2 linked regions of the Oryzias latipes genome follow. The protein of the gene in region 1 purifies or fractionates together with the protein of each later gene. This does not show direct contact. Links are inferred from orthologs where the notes say so. Each region holds a gene or a part of one and is shown in the gene's direction. Other genes may lie near its edges.

What was found.
Region 2: the proteins of lin7c (region 1) and discs large homolog 1-like protein purify together in Homo sapiens (affinity purification with mass spectrometry; 4 studies listed by BioGRID and IntAct, counting the BioPlex papers as one, with this or other methods). This does not show direct contact. The link is inferred for Oryzias latipes from reciprocal best matches to the Homo sapiens genes LIN7C and DLG1.

What each region holds. Positions count from the first base shown.
Region 1 is NC_019861.2:17,902,450-17,906,641, reverse strand, and holds the start of lin7c (protein lin-7 homolog C), read left to right. Parts: upstream 1-1,369; 5' UTR 1,370-1,543; coding exon 1,544-1,580; intron 1,581-2,624; coding exon 2,625-2,743; intron 2,744-2,827; coding exon 2,828-2,899; intron 2,900-3,008; coding exon 3,009-3,218; intron 3,219-4,192. UniProt on the Homo sapiens protein: Plays a role in establishing and maintaining the asymmetric distribution of channels and receptors at the plasma membrane of polarized cells.
Region 2 is NC_019875.2:12,823,928-12,827,494, forward strand, and holds part of discs large homolog 1-like protein, read left to right. Parts: intron 1-2,042; coding exon 2,043-2,175; intron 2,176-2,589; coding exon 2,590-2,746; intron 2,747-3,567. UniProt on the Homo sapiens protein: Essential multidomain scaffolding protein required for normal development. Recruits channels, receptors and signaling molecules to discrete plasma membrane domains in polarized cells.

The sequences.
Region 1 (4,192 bases):
CAAAACACTCACTGTGATCCAGCACAAAAGCGATTCTTGGCATCTTGATTAAAAGAGAGCAGCCGCTCTGTCAGTTTTTTTCCTCTGGCAGACGAGAAATCCCCGTTTACCAAGTATCAGCACCTTAGTTTAAAGCCACAGTGGGATAAACTAAATCACGTTGATCTCTGTATGACCAATTTAAAAAAAACTTTAAAATGCAGTTTTAAAAATGAATAGAAATCAGAAATTATCCTGAAGTATTTGATTTTACTTCTTCCTCAAACACATGGAGGTAAGTCAGGCATTTGATGGATCAAGGGCACACTGTTACAACATGGACCTTGGAGAGAAGGCTATCCAATAGAGAAGAGCAGAACTGAAGATTTTTGGTCGAGTCCAAAGAAAACCAATCAATTTAAGTGATAATTCTGAAGAAAAGAAGTCGGCGTGCTCATGAAGGAATTCCACAACATTTGTCATGTTCGTGCAGAAACACATCCTCAAGGACAAGAAGCAACAGTTTTTGGATTCTTTGTTGGTAAGGTAGACGGAGTTCTTCATTTGTGCTCAGTAGATGCCTTGGGCATTTTTGTTTAACAATGTACCAGCAAGCGGAAACTGACATGTATTAATTACACCCCATAAAGACAGGAAGGAAATCGTGCTTTATCAAGCCAGGTTCAAGCTCAGGTTTGCACAAAACAGTAAAAAAAAAATCAGTTTTCTAGCATCATGCATCATAAATAACTCTATTGTAAGATTGTATAGATTAAATACAGCTAAGATAGTAATGGAAATAAAAAGAATAAATCATTACTGCTACTACACCAGCTAAAGTTAGGTGAAAAGTGAACGATTTCAGCCCATAAAGGCCTGTAAAGCAGTACCTCACAGCTGATTAATGTCAAGAATGGAAGCAGTGCTGGAGGTTACCACTGGGGGGCAGTAGAGGGACATCAGGTCTCAGAATTTCACTGGCCGGTCTTCCTGCTCTGCCATTTACCCACCAAGCTTTGCTGTGCAGATGGACCTAACTCTTTAAATAAACGTTTCAGTCAGATTCACAGTTTATTCTGCACATATTTTATTATAAGAAATACATTTAGATTTGCAGCAATTGATTGTACTGATAAGAAGGGAGTGACTTTAAAACAAGAAGAAAGTAAACAAATAGCTCTCACCAAGAAAGTAAAGCAAATAGCTCTCAGCCATGGGTAATCCGGTACGTCTGTCTGTATATTAAATGTTATGTGGATTTTAAGTGGTCAATTGAACAAATTATGATATTTAAAACAAAATAATTAATCTACATATCATTTTATTTTAATCGATTAAAAGAAATTGATTTATGTCTGATATCGAGTGTGGTCAATCTGTTTTACGAGGTTCCTTTAACGCATCATGGCACTGGCATCTAGCCTAGCCTAGCTAACCTGGCTAATCTGATTTATCGTCTCAGTTAAGCGCAGGAAACGTGGGTCAGGATTACCAGTTTTAGTTATCCTAACTCGCTTTTTGTTGCTGTGTAGATTAAAGGTGCAATTTATTTATTACATCGAGAATGGCATCACTGGGGGAGCCTGTGCGACTGGAAAGGGGTAACGTTAATTGGCTAACTGGCTTTATTGTGAAACGAGATGGACACACCTAGCTTACATACATAGCATTGCTTGGTTAAAACAAATGGTGTTTTTCATGTTTTATTTGGATAACGTCTCGTTTAAAGTATGCTTTGGACCACAAGTGTTTTTATGTCGTCGAGTTACATTAACTATTGCTTAAGCGTTGTATTTGGTTTGCTCTTTTTAGCTAACAACAGAGATTGGCCAGCGCTCTCATTTGACTTCGGCGTCCTAATGTTGTATTTCATTTCTCTGACTTTTTGTTCGTTTTTAGAAAATAAAGATAAAATTAAGTAAAAACTGTCGATATTTTAGTTTTCATTGTGATCAAATCTAAAACATTTTAAAATTGGGTTTGAACGTGCCCATAAGTACTACTAATGTCGTCCTGAAATCACCTCGTTATTAACGTCGTTAAATGAAAAATATAGTTTTAAATAAAAATGGTTAGCAAGTAAGAATGACTTATCTAGTTGGCTTTAAGTAAACTTAGGCAAACGTTTATATTTTGTTGCAACTCTACTTTTGCCTTAATAATAAATACTAGCTTTAAATTGTTTCAAGAACATAAGGACAGAGTTAAACTGATACGTTTTTAACCAGTTATCAGTTCTATATTATTTACTAGTCTTTATGCATAATTTTATTTTTAATTGCTAACTTTGACAGATATCAGCATAAAAAAGTACGGTAACCGAGTTACAGGTACAGGTATTTGCAGTTCTGTTTTGATTGAGGGACCATATTTAATTTTTATAAATTAGAGGTTGGTTTCTTTTTTTTCCCTCCTTTTATTTATTTATTTATTATCAATATTTTTTATATATTTTTTACCATCAGTCTTTGTGGCTGTTAAGGAGTGGCTTTTGTAAAAATGGAAACCACTGTGTGGGTATCTTGTGTGATAGATCGTAGCTGATTAAAGTGGAGTTCCTGATTTGGACAGTAATAGGAGAAATAAAAACTATTGTTGTTGAGACTTGAAATCTGTGAACGTGCTGTACATGTTGTTCCTTGTAGATATCAACCGAGCCATTGAACTTCTGGATAAGCTTCAAAGGACAGGGGAGGTTCCTCCTCAGAAGCTGCAGGCTCTGCAAAGGGTCTTGCAAAGTGAATTCTGCAATGCTGTCAGAGAAGTGAGACATTGCCATCACTTGTCTTTTTTTCTCCCCTATTATCAAGATTTTTTTGTTCATTTTATGTATTTCATGTATGCTTAGGTATATGAGCATGTGTACGAAACTGTGGACATCAACAGCAGTCCTGAGGTCAGAGCCAACGCCACAGCTAAGGTTTAATCTCTCTTTCTTTTATTTAGGTTCACTATGTTTCCTTAAAGAAGATGTGTTTGAACGGTTGGTATTGTGTCTTGAGGACTAAATAACACTTTCCTATTTGCAGGCTACAGTGGCAGCTTTTGCAGCAAGTGAGGGACACTCGCATCCGCGCGTGGTGGAGCTGCCCAAAACAGAAGAGGGTCTGGGCTTTAACATAATGGGTGGCAAGGAGCAAAATTCTCCAATTTACATTTCCCGGATTATCCCAGGAGGCATTGCTGATCGACATGGAGGTCTCAAAAGAGGCGACCAGCTGCTCTCTGTCAATGGCGTGGTAGGTTCATATTAAAGAAGTCCAACTGTGGTTCTAGAATAACACTAAAAAGGTTTGTTTGTATTATTCTGTGCAGCAACTTAGAGAACAATCTAAAACTATCAAAAACCTTAATTTAGTGGCCTATGCACAGGTTTAGGTATTTATAATATAATCTAGTGGATCATTACTTTATTTAACCGAATTAAAATCCATTGAGAACAATATATCTTTTTCACAGCTGACCAGCAGCAAACATTAAAAGTAGTTAAAACAGAGAAAAAGGACAATAAAAGTCCAGTTTTCAAATAAAATGTAAAAAAGTGTGTTCATAAAACAGGTGTTAAGGGTAAAATTGATACAAATCAGAACAGTGACAAATTGGAAACATTAGAAACATAAACTAGCATAACAAATTAGACACAGTTTATATTTAAAGCAAATATTAACAACCAAGCCATGATAATCTTTTTACACATCAAAGTAGACCATTTTGAATAAATAGCTTTGTGAATCTGCAGTTGTGTTTTTCACCTCTGAAAGTACTGACCTAGTGTTGCTTTATCTTTTCTCTACATTTCTATGACAGTAATTATCTAAAAATCATGAACCTTTTTTGTGCCTATTAGCTTTTAAAGTCTCTGTTGGAGCCATTTGTCTGAGTTTAGGTTATTTACTAGATTTCGTGCATGCATGCGCCTGTCATTCCTTGGCCATGCAGCTGATCTGGCTTCCTATTGGTTAGGTGCATTTTGGGAGCTGCCGTGTCTTTTATTGGCATTTGCTTTTTGGATTTTGAACTTGGGAAGCACGGCAGCACATTAATCTTAGACCGTGTTTAGAACATGTTATTGTCATAGTTAAGACGTGTTCATGCGCTTGAAAAGTATTTTTTGTGGTTTGTACTTTATATTTTTATTGTTCAGTAAGGTGCAAGAAAATAAATTACATAAAAGGAAGAACAACTTTTTTTTATGAAGCACGCATTAAGACAG
Region 2 (3,567 bases), on another chromosome or scaffold:
GTCAAATTCTCTCCGGCACCTAGTGGTGACTAAGGGCAACCCTCTTGAATTCTTCCCCTACCCCTACGGCTTCTCTCTGCCCCTACATTTAGCCCTTCAAGCGAAAGTTTATGGAAAAATAGTGTCTTCAAATTCGGACAACACTACCCCTGGATGGTCATCCGGTGTGCTACGTTATCGCGTAGCTGCCTGCTCTCAGAATGTACATAACATCGGGTTTTTAACTTAAAAAAGCCATGCTAATAATGCAAATAATAATAAAAAATATATGAATTAATAAAACACACAAATACCCAACACATACACATCCCAACATTAAAATCAAAACAAATCAAATTAGTTGTTTTATAAAATCAAGTAAAAACATGTGGACAAGTAAAAAGATGTGTTTTAAGTTTTTTCTTAAAAACCTCCACAGTGGCTGAAGGCAGGCAGGCTGTTCCACAGGCGAGGCCCACAGTGCTGAAAGGAGGCCTCGCTGTGGGTTTTAGTGTGGACCTGAGGGCTCTGGGAGGGTCATAGACTATAAGTAAATCTGATAAAAATGAGGATCCAGGTCCATGTAAACCTATATAAACTAATAAAAGAACCTTAAAAGCGATCCTAAAGCTGACTGGGAGCCAGTGCAAAGACTTCAAAATTGGAGTAATGTGCTCCTTCTTTCTGGTTCTAGTTAAAAGGCATGCAGCCGAATTTTGAACAAGCTGCAGTCGATTGAAAGTATTTCTCTTAACACCAGAAAGAAGAGCATTACAATAATTTATCCTAGATGTTATAAAGGGATGGAGTAATATTTCAGCACTGGCTTTAGAGAGAAAGGATCTCACTTGGGCAACATTTCTAAGGTGATAAAAGGCAGTCTTTGTAACTTGGTCTGCGTGTGATTCAAAAGAGAGGGTAAAGAGATTAAGTAGTGAGATTCCCTCTTGTTGAAGGACAACCTCTGGTTCCCCTTCTTGAAAGAGGGACCACCACCCTGATCTGCTAGATCAGAGGTCTCCAACTTCCAGGCAATGTCCTAAAGGAATGCCGTCAAAGACGCTCCCAAAACATCCAGAGACTTGAGGTAGTAAGGGTGGACCTCATCTGTCTCCAGTACCTTGCAACCGATGTGCTTTTTGACACTCTCCATTTGACTACAGCTTGGGGGACGGATTGGCCCACTTCTGGTTCCCCAGATACTATTTTCTTATGAAATCATGTCAACAGAATTAAGGAGATTCTTCCACCTCTCAGCATTTCCCTGTTCAAGGTCAACAGCTCCTCACCCACACTGTAGACGGTAGTGGCAGAGAACTGCTTGCTTCTCCTGAGAGTCTAGCCCTCTCAAAAGGTTGGGTTTTAGAGTCCAAACTTTGAAGAGGCGCATGCCCAACTATCTTTACCCAGGACCCTCACCCTTCTGCAACCTAAGGGTCCCTCCCACTTAGGGAGGTAACAGGCCATGTCCCGATGATTAGTCCATTTTTGAGGATTGGGTTGTTGCGGCACCAGCCCCTTGTAGACCTTCCTTGTGAGCTCGGGGGAAGGCCAACCCTAGGCTCGGTCCCGAGATAGACCCTTGGTGACGTGAACCTTGTATTCAGTATTTTTACGAAAGGATTTTTTCCATACAGTAGTAAAAAAAGCTTTTTGTTTCTTCCTTTGGTTGCACTTCCCTTTATTTATGTTTATTACTTATTTGTTTGACCTGTTTTTACATTATTCATCTGTTTTTCATCTTTCCCCAGTTTTTTTTTTTCAATCAAATGCATATCCAAAAAGGTATACAAAATGTTGTTGTTTAATTGACTGAAATGAAAAGCAAGGTTTTGAATCTTGGAATTGTGATTCTATAAGACAAAAAGGTTTGTTTGGAGTTTAAACTGCAGAGGATTCCTTTGGTGTTTCAGCTGGAGCTCACCTGTCTGCTGTAAACCGATCAGACCGTCTCCAGTTTCCTAGGTTCACTTTACCCCCTATTCTGCAGCTCCCATCTCATCCAAATGGGTGTTTCTACTGGCGCACACGTTTTTGGTTCACGAATGCTCTGTCTCTTCCAGCTTACTCACAGCACATGGAGAATCATATCAGCCCCCCCAATTTTGTAAGTCACCAGCTTCAACCACGAGGATCCTCGGGATGCTACTCGCCCACACCAATGAGCCCGCTAGCAGACGACGACGGTGTCACTCGGTGAGTACGGCAGAACACGCGCATAAATATTCATTCAAAATGGTTGATTGATTGATTCACAGATCATTCCCAATGTTTAGCTGTTTGTCCTAATGTTACCACCCTACAATTAAAGCCTCATTCAACCACCTCATCACAATTTATGCAAGAGAAAAATATCATCTGACTGCTACAGCTACTTTTTTCTTAACTGGTCTGGGTTTCTCTGTGATAGAAACATGAGGTGACCTTCAAAGTAATCTCTGCCTAAACAGACTCGGCTTCAGCTATAAAGGATTAAGACGACTATAATGTAACTGCAAGTGTGGGCTTTGTAACCCTCTGGCCTACTGGAGAGGAAGATGAGGCTGCATTCTTGATTTTTGTTTATTTTATTCTGACCTCCACAAATTTATAGCTATGGTTGCCCCACAGGGAGCCGAGGAAGGTGGTTCTGCACCGAGGGGCGACCGGACTGGGATTCAACATTGTGGGTGGCGAGGACGGAGAGGGCATCTTTATTTCCTTCATCTTAGCTGGGGGGCCAGCTGACCTTTCTGGAGAGCTGCGCAAAGGAGACCGGCTGGTATCTGTAGGTGTTTACACACCGTTATGCACCTTCAGGAACTTAAAAGCTCAAAAAGTACACTATGCATGATATAAACCCTTTGAGGTGGGATGTTCAGGCTGTTGCCTCAAATCTGTATCTCTGCTGATGGTAAAAATGTGACTTTTTGATGACAAAAAGACCAAATGTCAGCGTTAGATAAATTAACTGGTGTGTCATTTAAACTACAAACTTTGTAGCGCTGAATGTGGGATAGCCTATTTCTTTATAGTTGTTTCTTGTGTCAAACAAATTCACATTAGCAGAAAATAAGCTTTCTTTTTGTCATCTTTTGCTATGTCAACTTCTCTTTAAAACAATTACTGCAGGCATTTGTGTGTAAAGTTGTGCTTGTTTGCCTTTCAAACGTGCAAAATATAGACACTAAACATCGCCCACAACTTTGCTTTATGATTGTGTGCAACATCGTTTTTCTTTTAGCGTCTTCTTCTCCCAATTCTTTGTTCATTTCGCCAAAACCACTCTGTTTATTCATCGATTGGTAACACTATTCTGCTTGTTGAAAGGCCAGTAATGTGACAGTAATGGTTTTCACCTATCAAACTAAGATTTTCCCTTCGACAATTTGTTGAAGAACTTTCTTAAAAGATAATTTTTCATGCAAGACAAAAAAACAAGAATTTTTTGTTCAAACAAGGTTTTTTTTTTTTACTTTGTTTCGATTCAGGTTTTGCTGTGTACTGTCACTTTTTGCTTGCTTGGGGGGCTTTATCTGGCAACTCTTCCAAGTGGTGTTTTGATCCGTTACATAGGCTCACTCAGTTGTAGAGAGAGCGGGGATCAGG